Arabidopsis thaliana: one gene and its partners. The protein of the gene in region 1 interacts with the protein of each later gene in a biochemical or structural test. Each region holds a gene or a part of one and is shown in the gene's direction. Other genes may lie near its edges. The genes, in order: PRR5, ZTL and LKP2.

Region 1 (3,756 bases):
ATAATAAAATTTCTAATATATGCTGTCAATTATGTGACCAGCAACAATATAGTAAAACAATGTTAATTAAACCCATCTAACAACAATAAAAATTTGTCACTGACATAGTTTTCCTATATAGCACTTATTTTTCTTTTGTCAATAAAACACGCCGGCCTAAACCTATTTCTCAGTTTAACGCATGAAGTGCTAGTACAAGGAACTAAACCACCTGGCTTATTATTAACCATTTTCTTCATTTGTTTGATTGATCATTACACTAATTGTCCTTTTTTATTACCTAGTAGTTTACTAAGTTTGATTAAGAGAAGAAAACCATAGGGTCCAGTCAATAAAAAAGAAAGTCATAGCGTAGGACAAGACTCTTGTTACAAGAGAGCGAGTAGGAGAGATATATTACACTCGCGGGCGCGTAAAGAGACAAGGAAAAAAGAAGATATTTAGTCTCTGACAGTGACAGCTACCATTTAAAGGTGAAAGACTGTGTCAGATAATAACCATACACGTGTCATATTCCTATCCACCAAAGAACCACGAGGTTTTTAAACAAGTGTCTCTAATCTAATCCCACCCAACAACAAAATATCTAGCCGCGGAAAATTACTTTAAAATTCATCACCCTTTGTCCCTACTCTTGACTCGTGCATGTTCCATTTGATTTATTCCACCACGCAACCAAAATAGTAGCAATAGAAAAAACCAAAATGTTGATAAAAATTTGGTAAACTATGAATCTCTATGATCGATATTCATTTGTTTGATTGTTCCATTTCTTTTCTAATGCAAATCAATATTAAAGTGTTCTTATTTCGTGACTAAAATATATGGCTGGCCGAAAAAATATAAAATAATATATGACATTTGCTATTAGTTAGCACCAGTGATCATTTGGTGTAAGCAAATGTTTTTTGTGCCAAAAAATAATATTGAAATATATGTATAATTAATTCATTAACAAAAAGTTCTTATTTGTTATTTCAGAAAATAAATTATACCATGTGTCCTTGATTTTCTTATGTGAAAAAAAATTGAAATATCCTTATTGTTTTTAAAATAAACAAATTGCAAACCTATGTACCAAACAGAAAATAATACAATTGTTTTTGGATAAATTTGTATAGATACTTTTTCCCACTAGCATTAGATATTTTTTGGGTTTGGTATTATCCCAAAAGTCACGAGTGGGATTTTTATAGGTACTCAAAAGCTAAAATGTCTGAACAATAATATAAAATACATTTTAAAATAAAAGTAAAATTTAGAAGCATCAAATAAGTAATAGTTTCAATGTTTAGTGTTGATCTCTTATTAAAAGAAAAATAAACAAGAAATTCACTAAATATTTCTCCATCACAAATACATAAACATCAATTGCAATAAATATTTTGGTAAAGTATAATAAAAAATTAAATCCAACTTTAAATATGAACCACATAGAAAAACCAAAGGCTAGCCACCACACCAATTTTTTCTTAAAAGAAGGTTATTTGGCGTATTGGATCTCTTTTGTCTCGTATACAGTATTTTGCTGATGTGGCAAACGTGGCCACGTCAGCCAATTCTACTAGATATTTTTTCAAATCCAAATACTCTTTCCACAACCGTTAGATCATGGTCGGTTCGCCACCCACTTTCAATCATAACCGTTAAAACATTCGCTAGATTTTTTCTAGATATTTTCTTTTCTCCACACTATTATAGAAAGAATAAAGTTCTTTTTTTTGCTCTCTTCTCATTTATCTCTCCACTCACAAATATTTTGATTTGTTTTGTAACTGTTTCTCTTTCTCTGGAGCTTTCTTCTTCTTCTTCAATAATCGATTTAGGTTTTTCAAAGCTAAGTGTTTGTGTTGTGATAATGACTAGTAGCGAGGAAGTAGTTGAAGTGACGGTGGTTAAAGCACCTGAAGCTGGCGGAGGAAAGTTATCACGTCGGAAGATTCGGAAGAAAGACGCCGGTGTTGATGGTTTGGTGAAGTGGGAGAGATTTCTCCCGAAAATCGCGCTTAGAGTTTTGCTCGTTGAAGCTGATGATTCTACTAGACAGATTATCGCTGCTCTTCTCAGGAAATGTAGTTACAGAGGTTAGTTTCTGGTTTCAATGCTTGAGATTTAGGTTTTGTTTGTATAGAATCTGAGAATTATGAATTCGATTGAGATGCTAATGTTTTGAATCTGATTCGCGTGCGGCTAAATGTTACAATTCAAAGTCAAATTTAGAAAAGTCAACGATTTTTTTGTCGGTTTTGTGTTCATATAGAAATCTTTATCAACGCTTAGTTTCTACAACAAGCTAAAAGGATTTGTATTAATGTGGTTTGGTTTTGTGTATTGATCAGTTGCTGCAGTACCTGATGGCTTAAAAGCTTGGGAGATGCTAAAAGGAAAGCCTGAAAGTGTTGATTTGATATTAACAGAGGTTGATCTACCTTCAATATCTGGATATGCTCTGCTAACACTTATCATGGAGCATGATATTTGCAAGAACATTCCTGTTATAAGTACGTTGATATATACATCTTTTTCTTCCATCGTTTTGAAATGATTTTTTGGCTCATTATGTATTGTTTTTTTTTCCAGTGATGTCGACACAGGACTCGGTGAATACTGTGTATAAGTGTATGTTGAAAGGTGCGGCTGATTATCTTGTTAAGCCGTTGAGGAGGAATGAGCTTAGAAATCTTTGGCAGCATGTCTGGAGAAGACAAACTGTATGTTTCATATCCATCTTTTGTTTTAAGCTTTATGTGTGATGAATTATCTCTACAACTTAAACCCGTTCTTATATAAGTTCTGGGAAATTTCGTTGTCTTGAAAAGATGATTGAGTTCTCAGATTTGTTTTTGGTTTTGATTATCTTTTACAGTCACTTGCTCCTGATAGCTTTCCATGGAATGAGAGTGTTGGACAGCAGAAAGCCGAGGGTGCGTCTGCAAACAACTCGAACGGAAAGAGAGACGATCATGTTGTGAGTGGGAATGGTGGTGATGCCCAGAGCTCGTGTACAAGACCAGAGATGGAAGGTGAGAGCGCAGACGTGGAGGTTAGTGCGAGAGACGCAGTACAGATGGAGTGCGCAAAGTCTCAGTTTAATGAGACACGGCTTCTAGCAAATGAGTTGCAGAGTAAGCAAGCAGAAGCCATTGACTTCATGGGAGCATCGTTTAGAAGAACTGGACGACGTAACAGAGAAGAAAGTGTTGCTCAATACGAATCTCGGATAGAGCTTGATCTTTCTCTGAGAAGACCTAATGCTTCTGAGAACCAATCTTCTGGAGACCGGCCTTCTCTTCATCCTTCTAGTGCCTCAGCTTTCACACGGTGAGTTGTCTAATTTCTCAATTCTTCTTTCTATTAATCGTTCAATAGTTGTCGTTCTTTCTGCTGATTGTGTGTGTTATGTTCTTGTTGCAGGTACGTTCACAGGCCGTTGCAGACACAATGTTCAGCCTCCCCAGTGGTTACTGATCAAAGAAAGAATGTTGCAGCAAGTCAAGATGATAACATTGTGCTAATGAACCAATACAATACATCTGAACCGCCTCCAAATGCTCCAAGAAGAAACGACACCAGCTTTTACACTGGAGCTGACTCACCTGGTCCACCGTTTAGTAATCAGCTGAATTCTTGGCCGGGACAGAGTTCATACCCTACGCCAACCCCTATCAACAATATACAGTTCAGAGATCCCAACACAGCTTATACATCTGCAATGGCTCCTGCTTCACTCTCCCCAAGCCCTAGTTCCGTTAGCCC
Region 2 (3,756 bases), about 15 Mb from region 1:
TTTCTTTCAAAATTTGTATAAAGAAAAAGGAATTTTATAGTGGGGGCATTTTAGCATCTCGTCGAAGATATGAATGAATAGAGAATTTTGCAAAGTGTAAAGAAAACAACCGACCAAACCCACTTGTTCTCTCACGTCCTTTTTATGTGTTAAATTGTCATACACAAAAAAAATATTTACAATTATAATTTTTCTAAAGTCTTTAATGTCAAAATTATATGATCTATTTATATCAGTAATACAAATGTAAATCGCTATATTTTATATTTTTGTTAAAAACTAAATACCATAATTTAAAAGAAATATTTTCTTTTTCTTTTTATTTGCGAAGATATTGTTTAGTCGTATGGCATTGTATTAGTTACTTACTTAGTAGTTTTACAGAACGAGGTGAAGAATGTCGGAAAAAAGAAAGAGGTGACGAAGAATTTTGACCAATTTGCTACTTTGTAAGGGAAATATAATACAAAAAAATTGTATTTAGCATCATTACAAACAATTTCTCCATTTTGTTTTAACTTTTACTATCAATTTTATTATTTTTATACGAAACTTATAATTAATAACACGAGGTAAGCCTGTTTTGTTAAATTGAGTATGTCAATTCATTTCATGAGATAATAACCTTCAAATAAAGTTCATAAGATAGTTGCCCCATATCGGTAACTTAGGCTTATAAAACAGTCTTATTATTGGTGATATAAAACAGTACTTAACTACTTATATATAAGTACTTACAACTTATTCTTATTATTGTTGATATAAAACACTAAAGTTGGGTTAAATCTTAATTCCAATTCAGCTGTTTGATGTTGGTTTAAAAGTCTGTTTGCACCTATGATTCTATGATATACCGAACCGATTCGATTAACCAGTAGTTACGAGAAGTTATTTGTTTCAACTAACTATCTATTGATTTGATGTAACTAGTTTGGTCCTCTGCGTATAAAAGGAACATTACAGAAGAGATTAAATGATAGGCAATTGATAATTGAGACGGTTCAAGAAAAGATTTAGCAACCAACAACCTTAACAAATTTTCATTTACGTAACTATAATTATAGATCTTGCTATTTTTCCATTTTATGGCGTCTTCTTATTACGAAACTCATACTATTCAGTCACATAATCTCATTTACTGGACTATAATGGGCTTTATTGTAATGGGCTTTATTGTAAGACATGAGCCCACAAATTTGGAAAGTAATAAGCTTCAGCTCAGCTAAAGAGAGTCTAAAAACCAAAGGGAAAAATGTCATTAAAATCCCCAACTTATTGAAAAAGTTGATTTAAATCCTCAACTTCCAACGAAACGAAATAAATATCAAACTTTTGTTGATTTTCCAAATAAATACCAAATTTTGGTTGACTTTCCAAATAAATATCAAACTTTTGTTCGAGTAGCCATATTAAGTATGACATTAACAGACCCTGTTATTAGAGTCCATTTTTTGTTAACAGACTCGTTAATTGAAAACGACAATATTCCCTATAACAATAAAACAACGTCGTTATGTCATAAATGCTCAATTAAATCCCAATTTCAAATCATATGAAGATTTAGGGTTAGAATTTTGCTTGATTTGGAGATTTAAGATTGGATTTGGGAATTTAATTCGGTCGTTATAATAAAACGAGGTCGCTTTCTTGTTATAGGAAACAATAACGTTTTAAATTAACGGATCTGTTAACAGAAAATTAACTCCGTGAACGCAATATGTTAATCTACTTAATATTATACCTAATATGACCATATATACGAAAGTTTGGTATTTATTTGGAAAGTCAACAAAAATTTGATATTTATTTCGTTTAGTTGGAAGTTGATAATTTAAATCAACTTTTTCAATAAGTTGGAGATTTTAATGACATTTTTCCCAAAAATCAAGGGGAGTTTTATGGTTTTATCTACTTGACCCGACAGAGAAATCCGGACCCGGATAAAATCCGACCCGTTCGAATGAACTCATACGGCCGAGATTTTTCCACCAAACTCGACGGTTACCACTCGTTTCTTTGTCCACCATCTTCTCTCTCTCTCTCTCTCAACCCCCGAAAATCTCCTTTTCCCAAAATTTTCCGATTATCTCACGCCGGATTGTTTTTCAATCGCCGTCTTCATAATCTCCGGCGACTGAAATCAGTCTGGTAACTATTTGAATTTTCATGGAGTGGGACAGTGGTTCCGATCTAAGCGCCGATGATGCTTCGTCACTGGCGGATGATGAAGAGGGAGGTCTTTTTCCCGGAGGTGGACCAATTCCATATCCCGTTGGGAATTTGCTTCACACGGCGCCTTGTGGATTCGTTGTTACTGATGCCGTTGAGCCGGACCAACCTATTATATATGTCAACACCGTCTTCGAAATGGTTACAGGGTATCGTGCTGAGGAAGTTCTCGGAGGAAATTGGTTAGTTGTTTTTTTGTTATCTTTGTGATTAGTGTTCTAATTGATGCGAGGAATTTCTATTTTTGGTTATTGGCTCACTTTACCAAATTTTGGCTACTTGGTGGAGTTTGATTAAGGTCCGTTTAGTTTGAGGATAGGTGAGGAATGTTTGTGATGATGGTAATCTGAAGGACACTCTATTGATCACTAGATTTAGTATGGATGGATACTTTGGTGGAGAGAAAACAAAGATATGTCTATTGTTAGATAATCATTAGAGTCTCTGCCAAATGGCAGAGAAGACTCAGTGGAGTCTCTGTGTGTGCCTAAGTATTCTCTGCCTTCAGATGTTTATTCAGTGATTGTAGTTTTCATATTAATCGAGCTCTCATGGCTGTTTTTGAGCTGTTTCAGCTGCTCCGCATGTTAAGGAAACTTGAAAGTGTATATAGATGCCGAGATAAAGCGAGCTATCCCTGTGTAGTTTCTCGGGGTCGTAGCGAACACAATAAATTCTTTACAATGTTGATGTGCAGTGAACCAGTGAAAAGGCTAAGTCCAATGCGTTTAGTTGTGTGTTAGTTTTCCATGAGAGAAGTGCTAGTAGCTTCCTTTATTAATAAGCTTTGATCTTACAGGAGGAGCTGATCAGTTCAAATAGTTGTTATTCTTGAACAGAATGAAAATCTGGTTAGGTTATAATTATGCTTGTTTGGTGTATTTGTTTTTTTTTTCAGTCTCTACATGCACGGCCAAATATTTTGTCTATTGCTTTTCCGCATCAGTAAGTTGGAGATAAATTTTGTTTTTGGTCTTATATTGTTTCTTAATTAATTTCTCGGATTCTGCAGCCGCTTCTTGCAATGTAGAGGACCGTTTGCTAAAAGAAGGCATCCATTAGTTGACTCTATGGTTGTTTCCGAGATAAGAAAATGTATTGATGAGGGCATTGAATTTCAAGGCGAGTTGTTGAACTTTAGGAAAGATGGATCTCCGTTGATGAATAGATTGCGGTTGACTCCTATTTATGGAGACGATGATACTATTACCCATATAATTGGAATCCAGTTCTTTATCGAGACAGACATTGACCTTGGACCTGTTCTTGGATCTTCAACAAAAGAAAAGTCAATTGATGGGATATACTCAGCTTTAGCTGCTGGGGAGCGGAATGTTTCCCGAGGAATGTGTGGGTTATTCCAGCTGAGTGACGAGGTTGTGTCTATGAAGATATTGTCACGCCTGACACCAAGAGACGTTGCATCTGTTAGCTCTGTGTGCCGCAGGCTATATGTGCTGACAAAGAATGAGGATCTTTGGCGAAGGGTTTGTCAGAATGCATGGGGAAGTGAAACAACACGGGTAT
Region 3 (3,756 bases), on another chromosome or scaffold:
AAACTAAATATTAATAACTGGCAGGAAAGAAGCGATCTTTGACTTCTTAAAAGAGGAAGAGATAAAATACTAACAGATAGATTTACTCCATCTTCTCGCACCAGAAACATGGAGGGGAACAAGAAACAAAAATTACGCTTGATAGCCTCGTTTCCTCCAAAATCGAGGAGATGATAGATTTTGGAGGCTATCAAGAAACAAGCGTGGCCTATCGATTTTGGAGGAAACGAGGCTATCAAGCGGAATTTTTGTTTCTTGTTCCCCTGCATGTTTCTGGTGCGAAAAAGATGGAGTACATCTATCGGTTGGTTTTAATTTTCCTTCACTTCTAAGTAGTTCGTCTCTTCCTCTTTTAAGAAGTCGAAGATCACTTCTTTCCTGCCAGTTATTAATATTTAGTTTTCTAATATCCTAGAGTATATGTTACAAAACCAAATTCATTTGTATTATTGAGAATGACTAACTGTTTCATTCGCTCCCTCTTGTTCATTCACTCCCATCGTTTCATTCGCTCCCTCCTCTTCATTCGCTTCCTTGTGATTTTCATCCAAGGACTCCAGCTGTTAAATCAAGTAAAGTGAGAACCAAATTCATTTGTATTAGAAAAAAAAAAAAAAGACAATTCACATTTGCATCAGCCGATTTACTGGTTTTCTCCGGCAAAGTCTCGACCACCTCAGTGACATGTGAATGGTCAACCCATCTATTGCTTTCATTCCACTTGTTTGGTGGCTCTCCCATCTCCAAGGTCTCGTCATTCCTAATCGGAAAACTATTTAGTGGCTCTCCCAAATAGTTCGGTTGTATGCGATGGTGTTAAAGCAGATGCATGGAACATGTGCAAATACCATACTCAATTGAGAGGTGTATTCCTTGGGCAATATAACTTTGCTATATGGCTGCCACTTAATCTGAAAAAATATAATCTAAGTATTTAATATAGAACAAATGCATATGACAAAGAGATGAAATTTTGTTAGGTACCTCATCTTCCTTCATGTCTACAAGCATCTCTTGATAGTGTCCCCCACTTCTGTTGGCACAATTTTTGGTATACGGTTTATATATCTTTGCCCACTCAACCATTAAAGGAAAACTGGATGGAAATAGTTGTTGAAAGATAGTAAATCGCTCTAATGCAAATACCTACACGAAAAAATAAAAAACAATTAACATTATACAAATAATCAACATCAACATAATTAGTTTTTGTTTCACATAAAAACTTTACTTGCAGAGCAAAGACAAAACCGCAGAAAAATGTGGTTTGACCTTTAGTAAAAGCCTTCTTCCATTTGCATAAAGCGTCTTTTAGGATAGTTGAAGATGATGTCTACCCTCTAAACACACAAGATTATATGGCAGACACCACCCAAAACCAAGGCGTAACACAAACACGTAACAGTGTACAAACTTCTTCTAGACGTGCAAGGCAACCTCGAAGAAGGTCTATCATTGAAAGCGTGATCGAAAATAGTGGAAACTTTATTACGGAGTATCGTGAAAGACGGGGTGTTGTACTTTTGTATCAAGATGTTATTAACGCTCTTAGACGTCTTGATGTCCCGAAGCGTACACCATTCTGGCGGGCTGCAGTACGATGTCTTGCTCAAGCCAACTATGCATCGGCTTTTGTTGCTCTAGAAGAAGAGGAAAATATTGATTGGCTTGAAGCTATTACTGGATTCAGCAAAGACGGAGAACGTTTCGATGAGCAAGAATTGGGTTTTGGATGCAATGGTTTCATGATAAATTCAAGTTTCTAATGTTTTTAAATCAATAAAACTGATTCTAATACACTCATTTGGTAAAACCAAAAAAATCTCATAAGAAACTTACAGGATATTTTGTGTAAACCGGATAGATAAACTAAACCGGTAAGGTAAAATTAAGAAACCGGTCTGGTTAAAGATGGAAAAGGAGAGGCACTGAGAAGAGCCGAGTCATCGACCGACCGAATCATCTCTCTTCTTCTTCTTCTCCTCCTCTTAGAAGTGGGCGGTGGAGACTTCCATTACCTACAAATATCAGATTCCTCTTTTCTTCGCTCGATTCCATTTCAAAATCTGTTCTTCTATCTCCTGTTCCTGAAGAAGACGATTTCTGGGTTTGTCTAAAGTTTGGAACTTTTTTCCTGTGGAGACTTCGATTACCTACAGATATCAGATTCCTCGATTCAAAATCAAACTTTGTTCTTCTGGGTCTCTTCTCCTGTTGCTGAGGAAGAAGATTAGTGGGCTTAAGCTTTATTTTGTGGGTGTGTATGCAAAATCAAATGGAGTGGGATAGTGATTCCGATCTCAGCGGTGGAGATGAAGTGGCGGAGGATGGATGGTTCGGTGGAGATAACGGAGCGATTCCGTTTCCGGTAGGTAGTCTTCCTGGCACGGCGCCGTGTGGGTTTGTGGTCAGCGATGCTCTTGAACCTGACAACCCTATCATTTATGTTAACACTGTTTTTGAGATTGTTACTGGTTATCGAGCTGAAGAAGTTATTGGTCGAAATTGGTGAGTTTGCTCTTCTTGACTTTTACCCTAAATTTGTGGTGTTGATTTTGTTTTACTGTAGCGAATTTTGTCTCATTTGTGGTATTGGTACGATGTTACTAGAAAGCTTTGTTGAAAGCTGTTTTGACAGAAAGAAATTTATATTTCGATTCATTATTATGGTTCTTGTTGATTATGTTAGGTATTATTAGCTAGAACCATTTTGGAATCATGGGTTGGTTATTGAATTAGAAGTTTGTTGTGGAGGAACTAAGCTATAATGTGAGGTTCAGTTTGTAATGTTTCCTATGTCTGTGGATTAGTGTTTAGGAACTCGAACTTTGATAGTTTTTCACATGTCTTGATTGGTTTATGAAAGCCTTGGGATTATTGATTTTTGTAATATTGAATTGTAATGCGTTTTTGTCTAAGTATATATGTTTCTGTTGAATATGTTTCTCTTGGGTTTTAGCGGCTTTTGATCTGGTATTCCATGTTAATTATGCATATAGTTTAGTCTTTGTTCAATACTTGTGTGTGAGGAATTGTTCGCCAAAGTACTGTATCTGTTTAGTTGTTAGTTATCTATTCGATGAATTGAATAGGAGGGTCTTGTATCTGATTTGTGCTGTTGTTTTTTATTTGGCAGCCGTTTCTTGCAATGTAGAGGGCCATTTACTAAAAGAAGGCATCCAATGGTAGATTCTACAATTGTAGCGAAGATGCGACAATGTCTAGAAAATGGCATCGAGTTTCAAGGCGAGTTGCTCAACTTTCGGAAAGATGGATCTCCCTTGATGAACAAGCTGCGTCTAGTCCCTATCCGTGAAGAAGACGAAATCACTCATTTCATAGGCGTTCTCTTATTTACAGATGCAAAAATTGATCTTGGCCCATCTCCTGATTTATCTGCAAAAGAAATTCCTAGAATATCTCGCTCATTTACTTCTGCTTTACCAATCGGAGAGCGTAATGTTTCTCGTGGACTCTGTGGGATATTCGAACTGAGTGATGAAGTAATAGCTATCAAGATATTGTCACAGTTGACTCCTGGTGATATTGCATCGGTTGGTTGTGTATGTAGGCGGCTCAATGAGTTGACAAAGAATGATGATGTGTGGAGAATGGTCTGTCAAAACACATGGGGTACCGAGGCAACACGTGTTCTTGAGAGTGTTCCCGGTGCAAAAAGGATTGGTTGGGTGCGACTGGCCCGAGAGTTCACCACTCACGAAGCAACAGCATGGAGGAAGTTTTCAGTTGGAGGTA

What was found.
Region 2: the proteins of PRR5 (region 1) and ZTL form a complex in vitro, tested with the Arabidopsis thaliana proteins (3 studies listed by BioGRID).
Region 3: the proteins of PRR5 (region 1) and LKP2 form a complex in vitro, tested with the Arabidopsis thaliana proteins (one study listed by BioGRID).

Annotation. Positions count from the first base shown.
Region 1 is NC_003076.8:8,356,649-8,360,404, reverse strand, and holds the start of PRR5 (two-component response regulator-like protein), read left to right. Parts: upstream 1-1,858; coding exon 1,859-2,084; intron 2,085-2,339; coding exon 2,340-2,501; intron 2,502-2,580; coding exon 2,581-2,711; intron 2,712-2,866; coding exon 2,867-3,321; intron 3,322-3,414; coding exon 3,415-3,756. UniProt on the Arabidopsis thaliana protein: Transcriptional repressor of CCA1 and LHY, thereby controlling photoperiodic flowering response. Involved in the positive and negative feedback loops of the circadian clock. With RVE8, forms a negative feedback loop of the circadian clock.
Region 2 is NC_003076.8:23,239,431-23,243,186, forward strand, and holds the start of ZTL (Galactose oxidase/kelch repeat superfamily protein), read left to right. Parts: upstream 1-1,996; 5' UTR 1,997-2,166; coding exon 2,167-2,411; intron 2,412-3,241; coding exon 3,242-3,756. UniProt on the Arabidopsis thaliana protein: Component of an E3 ubiquitin ligase complex that plays a central role in blue light-dependent circadian cycles.
Region 3 is NC_003071.7:8,195,763-8,199,518, reverse strand, and holds the start of LKP2 (LOV KELCH protein 2), read left to right. Parts: upstream 1-2,035; 5' UTR 2,036-2,263; coding exon 2,264-2,508; intron 2,509-3,136; coding exon 3,137-3,756. Other genes in the region: AT2G18920 (uncharacterized protein), read left to right, coding at 1,359-1,766.